3 linked regions of the Schizosaccharomyces pombe genome follow. Changing the gene in region 2 together with the main gene of any one other region gives a genetic interaction. Each region holds a gene or a part of one and is shown on either strand. Other genes may lie near its edges.

Region 1 (3,417 bases), on a different chromosome or scaffold from region 2:
AATCCCGCATTTGCGTAAAACCAAGGGTACTATTGTGATTGTATCCTCTGGCGCTGCTGTTCGTGTTTTTCCCGCGTGGGCTGCATATTGTTGCTCAAAGGCCGCCATCAACATGCTAGTCATGAACCTTGGCAGCGAGGAGCCTGATATAATGAGTGTGGCAGTACGTCCGGGAGTTGTTGATACCCCTATGCAAGTTAGTATCCGTAATGATTCCAATAAAGAAGCCATGGGTGGAGATACTCATAATTTTTTCAAAGAACTTAAAACATCCGGTCAACTTGTGGCTCCTCAGGACATCGCCAAAGCTCTTTCTTTTCTAGCCTTGAATAACAATCCAAAGCTTACTGGTCAATTCGTAGAATGGAAATCATTTGTCTAGATGTTCTATAGTTTATTGAATTTCGGAGTTAGAGGCTACAATTGTTCGTTTAAATAAAACAAAATGAATAAATTAAACATTACATCAAATAAAAGTAGCTGAAAATAGTCCCAAAAAATGATCATGATTACTAATATTGATAAACAAAGCTGCAACAACATCTCAATCATTCATTAATGGTGACTATTCTAATTGGGTATCGTTGTCTTGGGCGACAAAAGCATCATCAGCTGTATCTTGAACATATGGATCTCCGCTCGTCAAATTCACTAATGAATTGGAAGATGGACCAGTAAATAATGAAGCATTAGAGTCCGAACCATTTTCAACAGCAATTTCATTAATCCAACCACGACGTCGAACCTTGACGGATCTGTGTTTTCCTAGAGTTTTAAGATACGATATTGAGTCATCAAACGTGGCTCTTGGATATAACTCATGAGTCCATATATGATACATTCCCAATAGTTGTTTTAAGTCTTTTGCCTCATGACCCTTTCCTTTTAACTTAACTTTGCGCATCATTTTCCTTAATTTTGGAATTCCATTTTCAGAAATCAATCTAAATAGGGAAAACGAGTGGTCAATAATTATTTTCCGAAAACCGACCAAATTCTTACCTTTCTTCATCAAATTTTGCCAACCGTTTGCGAGGTTTTTTTACAGAATCTGGATTTTCTTCTAACCCTAAATCAAATTCTTTTTCTTCTTCATTCTTTTTCACCTCTTCCCTTTTGTTTTCCTCGACGAGTTTTTCAACACCTGAATCAGAAGCAGCTGTAGACATTTCTTATGGTGTTTTTTTAAAATATATATTTGCTTGTATGTTTCGCAAAAGAGAGTTAGTGAATGCAATAAATATCGATTTGCTTGCTGTTTCGCTTCAAAAGTTCTGTTAATCTAGCAATTTTTCTATGTACTATTGACTTTACTGCTAATGAAAAGCGAATAGAACCTTTCAAATTTAACTGCGCAGCAAGAAAGGTTTATAATTTACTAATGAAAGAAAATTCCTTATTTAACGCGGATTAGAAATGTGTAGAGGAAGAATAGTTCAGAAGGCTCATGTTACACCTGGACTATATACTTTTATAAAATTTTGTTAAGAATGCTCATAAATTATAGCTAATTTTTGGAATTGTGATAGACGTATTTGAGTGATAGTGCTCGCTGCTAATACTAGTATAACAATTCTCAACGTAATCATTTTTGAATCGTTTCGGAAAGCATAATAAAGCAACTTTTACCCTTTCTCTTTCAATTAACATACTTTCCTTCAAATTTCTTGCATTCGTGTAGATTTCTTTTTTTGAATAAGTGTTTGTCATTAAAGGTTTAGGCAATGGCTTCTAGATATCGTGTTGAGTATGCGTTAAAGCAACATCGGAAGGACGATTTTATTGAATGGATTAAAGGTTTGTTGTCAGTTCCTTTTGTTTTACAGGCAGGAACCCCTTCACAGAAACTAGTAACGCGCGAAAAAGAGCAGGAAACGCTTGAGCGTTACGCTGTAATTTTAAGAGATGTGGAAAAACTTATTGAGGCTCATAGTAAGTTTCCCCTTCATTCTTTTAATTTTCTAACCTTTCTCATTGATAGTTCAAATAGTTTCAGAAGGTGGATCCTATAGCCAGTTAAAGATGCTTGTTCCATCGATCACCATATTTTGGACACCTTTGCCATTAGTGAAAGCTATGTACGCGTTGGAACCAAAGCTTTGTCTAGCTAAACGAAGCTTTGTGGCACCGAGTTTTAACGATGTCAGGGCAATATTAGGAGGTGCTCAATTGAATTACCTTGCGGATAATGGCTTGGATATGGTCAGTTTTGATGGAGATGTAACTCTGTACGAAGATGGGCAGCCTTTGCTTCCTGACAATCCTGTTATATCCCGTTTGATTCAGTTACTTTCGAGGGGGATCTATGTCATCATTCTTACTGCTGCTGGCTATCCCAGTCGTACTGGCCAGGAGTATACTGATAGATTTTCAGGATTATTGCAGGCAATCGAAGACAGCGACTTGAAGGATGGGCAGAAACGGAAACTTCATGTATTAGGAGGCGAGAGCAATTACTTATTTGCTTATGACCCACTGCATGGTTTACAATGGGTGGATGCTGACTCATGGATGCTTCCCGTGATGAAAACATGGCCTCATGATGAGATTCTCGAAATTTTGGATACTGCTGAAGAAACTCTTCGTTCTTGCATTCAAGGACTTAACATTGATGCAAAAATAGTTCGTAAAGAAAGATCAGTTGGATTTGTACCTTCCCTTGGTCAAAAACTGAGAAGGGAGCAACTGGAGGAAGCTGTTTTGGAGACACAAGCAACGTTGCAGATACGAAATTTCTCAGTTCCTTTTACTGCTTTCAATGGTGGAAATGATATTTGGTGTGATATTGGTGACAAGAAATTGGGTGTTTTATGCCTTCAGCATTTTTTTAATATTTCCCATCCTTCTCGCTGTCTGCATGTTGGTGATCAATTCTTGTCAGCTGGTAACAATGATTATAAAGCGGTAAGTTTGAAATAAACTTTTGTTGAAGATTACTAACCACCTATTCAAAGAGAGCTGCTGCTACCACTGTTTGGGTATCCAGCCCCCACGAGACGATTGAGTTTTTAGATTATTATTTCTCTTTTTTAAAAAAGTAATTTAATTAGAGGAGAGATCTTATACTGCAAACACATTCGTAAATATTCTTCTTATACTTCAGCAATGCTATACTATACTTATAAAATGAATACCCATATAAGCGTTTTGACATCAAAAGATATATGATCGTTCAATACATTGTTAATCTTTGATTTTTGATATCAATTTCTTTGCTAATTTTAATAGCGCATTATGCAATGTAAGATTTGGAATAGCATTAAATCTGAATACATGAATTTCACATCATAAAAACTCTAAATAAATGAAGACAAAAATAGTGATAACTCAAAGAAAGATACAGTATGTACTTGATTAGTTTTCAGAGTAACTTTAAGACATGAACGATAATTTGCCATAGAAGCAAATTCTAAACAA
Region 2 (4,711 bases):
CTTGAGCTGATGGTTGAACAAGGAGCGCAACTCACTTTATCTGACGATAGTCATGGACCACATCAAGTTGGCTTGAATTATCATTTGGCCAAGTCGTATCTGGACAAATGCGGTATTACAAGCCTCTGTATGATAGAAAAGGGCCCCGATGGTAATGGCACGGTGGTTAAAAATGTTACGGTCGACAATGTTTGGTCTAAATTCGTTGGCACAAACGGAATAACTAACACATAGAAGTAATACAGTTTAAATTTGTTTCCGTATTGGGGCCATTTTTGGACTTGAAATTTTTTTACAAGGGAAATTCAAAAGTACACTGTTTGGTCACCTGAAGTATAGTAACTAGCTATTCACCATATTTCAATCACTTCGTATGAAATGGCCGGCAAAGCTTTTGTTGTGGTGGATGATGATCCCATTTATGAGGAGCTCCCGTTTAACAAGACTGTTTGTTTTACACGAGTACTACGATGTCTCAATATTTGTTCCACTTGCACATGAACTATCGATTGCTACGATACATAGATTTCTGTCGCTTAAAATTGTATTAATTGTACATTAACTCAATTGAGTAGGCCGACTAATGGCCAACACTACTGAAACCAATTTAAGGGAAAAAACTATTCTAAATAAGAGATAACCATGATGTGACGTTACAAGCAAAGCATGGGTGGGACCATTGGGCTTTCGTCAAGCTTCAACCGAAAGTGCAAGGAGGATTGCTTGCAAAACATATGACAGTACCTGTTTCAAGCTTGTTTGAAGGGAAGAACGATAGTCGTACGAAATTGGGATAAAGCACGAAAGCAAAAAGGACAACGAATTAGTGCGAAAGGGAAAGAGGGCAAAGGCAAATAGCGGTGGAAAGCGAAAACAAAGCAATCACCGAAACTGTTTGAAGGAGGACAAAAAATAAAAAAAAACAAAGAATTTAATATGTCCGGATTGAAAGAAAAAAAAATCAATATTAGTTTAATAACGGAAGAGACAAGAAAATGCGGAGAAAATAGAAGCAACCCAACTAGCGCACATACAGAAAGGCTTCGTTGCCTTTTTATTTGGAAAGGGGCAAAGATACCTACGAGGAAGGAAGTAACCAGCTTTACCGAATGATTCGCCTTGCACACAACTAGGAAGAGGGAGAAATGAAAGATATTTACATCAAGCAGACCGTCAGTCAAAAGTAAAGAAGAAAAAAAATTTATATTCAACCGCTCAACATAAGTTAAACAAGGATTGAGAACGAAATTCTCGAAGAAAAGAGGTTGTGTGTTCACAGGTAGGAGGAGGATGGGCGGAAAAGTTGGGATTAATGGTCACCAAGATTAGGAGAGATGCTAGAATGGAGACCGCCACGAATGGCATTCATATTAGCGCCCATGTTGGCACCCATATTAGTGCCCATGTTAACGCCATGGGGAGCGTAAGCAGAGGGAGGCTCGAGCTTGGACAACAAATCGTTATGATCGAGAAGTTGTTGAAGGCGCTTATTTTCGGCAAGAACTTCATCCATTTTAGCATTTACCTGCATTAATTTTTCCTCATTATCGTGAAGATGTTTGGAGAGAAAGTTGACCTTGGCGACAAGCATGTCGACGTTTTGTTGCTCTTCAGTGAGCTTCTTGAGACGTTCATTAATTTCATCATTGCAATCACACTTGCGCTTGCCAACCAAGAATTTTTCGCGATACTGTTGGAGCTCGCTGAGACGGGCCTTCCATTCATCGCAAAGTTGGTCGAGCTCATCCTCTTCGGGAGTGGTCTTCATGCCGGGTTGACGATGGGCCAAACGCTGTTCGTAGACGCGCATGATGGAGATGATTTGATTGCGACAGGCGGACTCGGTATGAATAGCGAGGCCCTCGTCCTCATAACCGATACGGGCGATCTTGGCGTAAAACTCACTAGTTTTACGGTCGACGAGTTCGTGCTTGTGACGCACGACTAAGCGCATGAGCTTGATTTTTTCCTCCAAGGACAAGTGAGTACGCTGTGCCTTGGCGGGAGAGGAACTGGGAGATAACGAAGCATTCTTTCGTTTATAGCTCTTCAGTTCCATCTTGGGAGCTTCCATAGAAAATAGGGGATCCGTCTTGAATAATTTATAGGTGGAATTTGGATTCGATTGTCCGAAATCCAAATTGCCGCTAGGGGAAGAGTGGTGTATAGTTAAAAAAAAAAAAGAGAAAAGGAAAGGAAAGGAAAAGTTGTCGCAGAAAGCTTTTGCTTTGGATATAAAAGGAGAAGGATGAAAATCGACCTTTTATAGAAGAAAAGCTAAGTGAGAGGAGGAGAAAAACGAGACGAGATGGAAAAGCAATCGAATCGTATAGGAGGAACTAACAAGATAGTAAGTATACTATGTACTAGACGAACAGTATAAAAGCAAGGTAAAAAAACAGAGTCGAGTCGAGTCAAGTTAAGCTAAGCTAAGCAAAAGAAAACAAAGCAAAGCAAAACAGGAGAAGAGTATATAGTAGAATAGAAGTTTGTAGTAGAGGTGAAAAGACGCTTCCAGTCGTAGACAAGTAGAGCCAAGCTGATCTGACTGGTGAGTCAACACAAGTAGAAGAGGTAAGAGAGGTTTTCCAACAAAGGCAGGGCAAAGCAAAACAGAGGAAAGCAATGCAAACCGATTTTGAATGAAATTATTTAAGGATCTGAACGAAGGCAAGTCCTACACGACACTGCAATACGATGGAGAGTGTGTTGGAGGTGTTGGTAAAGCGTTCGTTGGGATGCGCAGCGAGGTAAATAAGATCGAGTGCCACCAAAACGCAGGCACGGTCGGTAATGATGACATACGGTATCGCTGGTAAACGGTCACAACGAGGGATGGGGAGAGAGCCAATGAAAGCGAGGAATAAGGAGGGGCGCCACATCTGGAACGTGCGATAGCGATGAGAATGGAAAGACTAGCAACGATGGTGGCGTCATGTGGATTGCGTATTATTGGATAAGGAGGTGCTGATTTGCCGGCTCCCAGGAGCGGAATTAGTGAGATGGAAGAGTGGGTGGAAATGTGAAGATAAGAAAAGATTGCACAAACGAACAAACCCAACGTTCCAGTGGGTTAGGGGAGTGATGAAGGGGGGGAAGAGGGATGCCCGCAGAGTAAAGCAAGGAGGGAGAGGGAGGGTATTAGAGGAGATAAGGAGATGAATCATAGCGTTGTAATTGGAATAAGGAAGTGAATCAAGTGTAGTAATTAGAATAAGGATAAAAATCACTTTGTAGTAATTAGAATAAGCATGTAAATTACATTGTTGTAATTGGAATAAGGAAATAAACCACAGTATAATAATTAAAATAAAGTATGTTGAAACTTTTTTTTTCTTATTCTTAACATTCCTTATTGTGCGCTTTTCTCTTTCCTTTTCTACTCTAGGGCTTTCTTCCATACACTTTTTGCAGTGTGGACATTCATTCGATTGCAGTATGGTCGCCACTTTTATAGCAGAGAAAAAGAAAGAGAAATAATAGAATAAATAAAAGAAAAGAAAATAAAAATACAATCAAGATCAAGTATTTTTTTTATTTTTTTCTTTCTTTTCTTTCCTTTCTTTTCTTTTATTTAAACATTGTTAGACCACACTTTGTTTCACCTAAATGCATCATTGCTAGCAATCGACAAAAGTTGCTGTAAGCATTTATGAATATTGGTTGATCATTCTGATTTTCAAGAGTTTCATTGAGTAATCTGAGGTCGACCCTTGAAATGTATGGTGTTGAGTCTGTATGGATTGCTAGAATTGTTGGTACCATTCGAATTGTTTCTACCTTGTTGCAACGAAACAAAACTTGGAGGGGGAAGCAAACGAAAAAGAGAGTAGGAAGGAGTGCAGTAAATGAATAGGGATGTAGAGGGAGAGACAGTAAAAGACGACATAGAGAGGCAGTAACCCGAATAAGGCTTTAGAAAGAGTATACTAAAAATAAATAAGACTATAAAAAAAGTGCAGTAAAAAATTAAGAACTTGGAAAGAGTCAGTAAACCGATTAAGAATCTAGAGGGAGAGCAGTAGAAAGAGTTTTGATAGAAACTAAATGATTCAACTCGCACACATATATATATGTAAAGTAAAATATACAGAGTGTGAAATGATTTACATGAAAACACTTGTTGGGTATTGTAATAAAAAACAATTCGCAGGTAAACAAAGAATAACTAAGAATCAAATGAGCCACAAGTTTTCTATTTATTTAATTTTAACTTGTTTTTTGTCTGACAACAATATTATTTTCATTTATTTACTTGTTTGTTCAAATTGTTGTAAACAAAGACTAATTTAGTGATTACTCTGGGTGAAAGAATGAGCAATGCAAAATAAAAAAATAAATAGAAAATAAAAAAAATAAAATAAAAATAAAATTGATAATTAAAAATATAAAAAATAAAATTAGGAAAATAAAATTAGGAAAATAAAATCTTGAAAAAATTCACTTTATAAAAAAAAAAAAAAATCAAACTAGAATGCATTTTGTAAAGGTCTTGTATTTGTCATCTCTTCAACACTGCAAACGTCGCTTCAGCATTTTCCCTGTATTCTACCTGAAAAAACAGTATATACAAAATTCCGCCCTATCAAACACATCGTATCCTCTACAATATCTCTACTTGGCTCTTTTCCACTTTAACATTACAATCTTTCTGCTGCTTGCACATTTAATATTTCTATCTTATTTCGTTAAACGATCATGAACCAAAAAT
Region 3 (4,496 bases), on a different chromosome or scaffold from region 2:
ACTTAAAAGTTGAAAGGCTAAGGGGTCGTATCCTGCACCTAAATTCACTATTGCCTTTCTTTTGCCGGTTTTATTCTTCAAAAACTGGTACACTGCAAATCGAATAGCCATGCATCGTGTCCAATAACCTCTATTTACGCTTGGCGATCTTCTAGGTGATTTCTGTATAAACGGTTGATAATAAGAATGTCCTACGGTAAAACCTGGATATCCACATTTTTCAACTGAGGCTTTTGAAAGAATTGAGCTGTCATTGGTTTTACGAACTTCTCTATCTTTTGACTTAGTTTTCCTTTGATTTTTGTTTGACATTGTATATGAATAAAGAGAAGCTCATTTAATCTTTCGAAGCCTTGAGAATTTTTGCAGTTAAGTTACACAAGCTTACGAAGATTAGTGGAAAGGAATTATAATATTGATCAGAAAACGACAATACCAATATGACCGGAATTGCTTAAAGTTTTACATAATTCGTGTAAATCGTAAATTACTAGTTTAAATTTTATATTTAATTGAAATGTTTTATTGAAATTTGATTGTAAATAAAACAATAACTTTTAGATTAAATATTAGCATGGACAGTAAGCAAATAAGAAAATAAATAGTACTCTAGTGAATTTTTTCGGAAATATCTAGAGCCAAAAAGACAAAAATGATTGCATTGAAAATGCAGATGGCTAAATTATGCCATAAATCAAAAAGTATGACGGATTTTTATTTTTCATCCTCTTCTACTTCTTCTTTTCTACTACGCCTTTTTCTTGCAGTTAAACGCTTTTCAGCTCCGGGCGGATAATATCCATCTCGAGTTTGATCGTATTCAGGCCCCATAATTTCAAGAGGACATGGTGGATTTTGTAACTCATAACGTCTACACAATTCAAATACAGCCTGTTCCTTTTCCTTAGCTTCTATCATTAGATCCATTGTAGGATCACACGGTGGAAAGTCAAACACCCTATCAGAGTGAGCACGTCGTTTCATCCCAGAAATCGCCGTTGGATCAGCCGATTCTGAGTAATGTTGCTTCTGTGTAATTCCCTTTCTTGTCCAGGTTTCTCGAATAGTTGGGATTAATGGCATTAAATCTAAACTTCCTTCACGAAGCGTTCCTGGCACTATGTTGTGATGATGCCAATCCAAAACTAGAGGAATATTAAGTTCTTGGCATAAAGGTAATAAATCTTGAACTGACCAAGAAACATCATCGTTTTCTAAAACTAAACGAGCTTTAACCGAATCAGACAAGCGTTGATAATTTTTACGAAACCTATCCAATGTTTCTTTTTTTCCTTCAAAGGTACCACCAAGGTGAATAATTAAAACAGCGTCTTTATTTAATTGTTCATTCAACTTCATACGACTGAGAATTTCATCATGATAAGCCAAATCACGTATTGCCGAATCAACTACGACTTCTCGTGGAGAGGCTATCTGGGTGTACTGACCAGGATGCATAGTCAATCGATGATTATATTTATTTGCCAGCTTGCCCACCTCCTCGAGATGAGATTGTGCAAATTCAAGGGTATATCCATACTTTGCATGGCTTGCGAAAGGAAATAAATCAGAACTCACTCTCATGAAGTGAATGCCAAAGTTGTGATTCCACTCAACCAATTTGATTAAATCTAAAACATTTTGCGTACCTAGCTGCTTGACACTTTCGAGCCCATCACGTTGAATGGTTGTAATTCGGCAGGTGCGTGAACAAAAAACCCTCTCCTTCATTGACCTTAAAATAGTATTCAAACAAGCATACCCCAATCGTCCTCGCCAGGGTATGGGTTTGTCCAAACAATCAAACATCTCTCGTGGAGCATGATCATCAAGATTCATTGTAGATTCTTTTTCTAAATTTTTTGCAGAAGAACGAGACCGTCTTCGTTTAGAAATTGGAGTTTCCAACTGTTCCGGCACAACCGGTTCGAACTCGTCAGAGCTACTTTCATTTTTAAGAGACTTTTCGTCGACTTCTTCAACATACTCCTCTTCCTCTTTTTGTTTAACTTTTTTAGTAGCTTTACTAATTTGCTCCTCCGATTCGGATTCTGACGAGGAATTGTAGTTGACCGGTTTTTTTGATCTCGACGATCGCCTAAGATGAGTTGAAGAATCATAGGACGCAACAGACTCATCAATTTTATCGGAAACAGAATCTGTCGCTTTCTTTTTACTGCTACGTGCCCTCTTTCGTGTAGACGTAGAAGTACTTTTTTTGTGAGGTCCACTGATATTAGCTAACTCAGTCTCATTTTCTTTTTTTAAGTCGACTGGTGTTTCGGCAGAGAATGAATTCGCACCGATATTAACTTGCGGTAACATTGAGAGTGTGGTTTTTGAGCTCATTGGAAGTAAACTTTTAAGGGTATCGGGTAAACAATGAAAACGAGAGTAAGTAATGGTACAAACCGACGGTACACAAGGATGATTACCTTTAAATGCCTTTTGTTTTAATATGGTGAAAACAATGCGTTTAGAGATTTGAATATTTCGTTTCAATAGCCTAAGCATTAAAAAATGAAAACGATTTTAGTATCAATATGACATTATTTAGAAGGAAATAAGCCCTTCGCAAACTTGCTTATATCCCTACAACTATTATCTTGTAAGTGAAAAGAGATATCGACAAGAAGTGATTGAGACTCAATACTAGTCAAAATCAACGAGTGTGAAGACAAATCTTCTTTCATTCCCAGTAAACCAAAAATGGTTTTGTATCATTGTTACGTCAAAATTCGCTATGATTTTATTGGAAGGCCATGAGATTACTGATGCTCAAGGGATTCAACTTTTGACAGTTATTGTTCAGTGTAGATAGGACTGCTTTTACGAGGAAATTTTGGTTTCTCAAATCGAGCTTAGTTTAGCAATACAATGTTAAGTAAAAAGATTGTGTTGCTTTCTCTTTAATAATTGCAGATTCAGTTGAACAATCAAAAAAACAGCAGATAGGAAAAAACATTTGAAATGAAAATTTGGCCAAGTCAAGGAGTCGCGACAATTTATTTTACCATCTGTAGCATATGTGTGTATGGGAAGCAGAAGTAGGCGGATTCGGGTCATTTATATTGTATTATGAACCGTCTTAATGCTGCTTTCTGCTGACATGGACATCTTTAAAAATATACAAACAATTACCGTGTAATTCACAATAGATTTAATACCATCAGCATTAATGAGTTGGTTGAGAAGCCATCATTGCGAAATCGCAATGTAGGTAGAGTAAACGAAGCGAATTGTTTACGATAAAATACAGTATATCTTTAGAACCGTAGATAGCTGCATCAGCGAAACGATTGGTTTTTTCTGCAAATACTATTACAACCAGTAGCATGAAGAACGCTTCTTACTGCCGCATCGTTTTTGCCGACCTGGCTGATCGATTGACAAAACAAACTTCTAGCAGAAATAAATGATCAGCGCTTCTTATATTTAACATTTGGCAGCGTGCTGCCCGCGTGTGAATATTTTCCTTAAGTTTGTATCCCAACAGAAAAGCGTAAAAAATTGGAACCACATTGAATCTTCAAATAAACAATATTAACATTACATTTCAGCATAAGCATCGACTATACATGACCTCGAGGTGTTTAAAGAATTAGTAATTCTTGCTTTGCACATAGTTTATAACGAAGTACGTCCTAGCATCACTCGATATTATCATTTAAGGTAGCACCACTATTGCTCTATACAATCAGCTATTACATAAACGTTGTAAGAGAGGAATTATACAAACGTCGACGACGGCGATTAATTGTTACCTTTCCCCTTAATTGAATACCATGACTGAGAATGAGAAAAGCAGGTCTTTACCTGCTGAAAGGTTCGTATATTTAAAGAAAACGACTAATTGATATTAGAAACCCTCTCTATAAAGACGATACACTTGACCGTACGCGCTTCCCGAAATTACGTGAAACTAATATAGCAGATACACCATTAATCCCAAAGTGTCGCGCTCAGGTAATAGAATTTCCTGATGGACCAGCTACTTTTGTTCGTCTCAAGTGTACAAATCCGGAATCTAAAGTGTAATTATCTTTTTTTTGCAGTGTTGTTTTTGGAAAAATACTAATGATGTATATAAATATAGACCTCACTTTCTTATGAGGATGGCAAAGGATTCAAGCATTAGTGCTACGTCAATGTAAGCGTTTTTTCATATCTTTTTCTAAAAATCTAAACCCGATTAGGTTTCGTTCAGCTTTCCCTAAGGCTACCCAAGAAGAAGAAGACTTGGAAATGAGATGGATTCGTGATAATTTAAACCCAATTGAAGACAAACGTGTTGCTGGACTATGGGTGCCTCCTGCAGATGCCTTGGCTCTTGCCAAAGACTACAGCATGACCCCGTTTATTAACGCCTTGTTAGAGGCATCCTCCACTCCTTCAACTTATGCGACTCCTTCACGCCCCACTGCGCAGAAATCAGAGACATCTGAGGGGGAACCTGAATCTTCGACATCTGCCACTACCACTTCTGTTGCTAGGCG

The links. Genes that interact genetically often act in the same process or in processes that back each other up.
Region 1: of sap1 (region 2) and swi3, extra expression of one rescues a mutant of the other (dosage rescue), as found in Schizosaccharomyces pombe (one study listed by BioGRID).
Region 3: mutations in sap1 (region 2) and uve1 impair growth when combined (synthetic growth defect), as found in Schizosaccharomyces pombe (one study listed by BioGRID).

Annotation. Positions count from the first base shown.
Region 1 is NC_003423.3:3,090,359-3,093,775, forward strand, and holds swi3 (replication fork protection complex subunit Swi3), read right to left. Parts: upstream 1,499-3,417; 5' UTR 1,170-1,498; coding exon 1,003-1,169; exon of another isoform or gene 945-1,002; coding exon 566-944; 3' UTR 501-565; downstream 1-500. Other genes in the region: SPOM_SPBC30D10.05C (sepiapterin reductase), read left to right, coding at 1-382; isn1 (IMP 5'-nucleotidase), read left to right, coding at 1,725-1,932, 1,982-2,904, 2,955-3,041. UniProt on the Schizosaccharomyces pombe protein: Forms a fork protection complex (FPC) with swi1. FPC coordinates leading and lagging strand synthesis and moves with the replication fork. It is required for programmed fork-pausing which is necessary for mating-type switching.
Region 2 is NC_003421.2:561,044-565,754, forward strand, and holds sap1 (switch-activating protein Sap1), read right to left. Parts: upstream 2,724-4,711; 5' UTR 2,075-2,723; coding exon 1,310-2,074; 3' UTR 533-1,309; downstream 1-532. Other genes in the region: SPOM_SPCC1672.01 (histidinol-phosphatase), read left to right, coding at 1-234. UniProt on the Schizosaccharomyces pombe protein: Binds to sequences required for mating-type switching. Makes a simultaneous contact with both the alpha and beta domains of the switch-activating site SAS1.
Region 3 is NC_003423.3:2,837,072-2,841,567, forward strand, and holds uve1 (endonuclease Uve1), read right to left. Parts: upstream 2,515-4,496; coding exon 715-2,514; 3' UTR 501-714; downstream 1-500. Other genes in the region: tRNA methyltransferase Ppm2, read right to left, coding at 1-312; integral nuclear inner membrane protein Bqt4, read left to right, coding at 3,786-3,826, 3,864-3,895, 3,935-4,034, 4,097-4,150, 4,197-4,496. UniProt on the Schizosaccharomyces pombe protein: Endonuclease for the repair of UV-irradiated DNA. Involved in the excision of cyclobutane pyrimidine dimers (CPD) and 6-4 pyrimidine pyrimidones (6-4PP) which forms the UV damage repair (UVDR) pathway. Also functions in oxidative damage repair in vivo.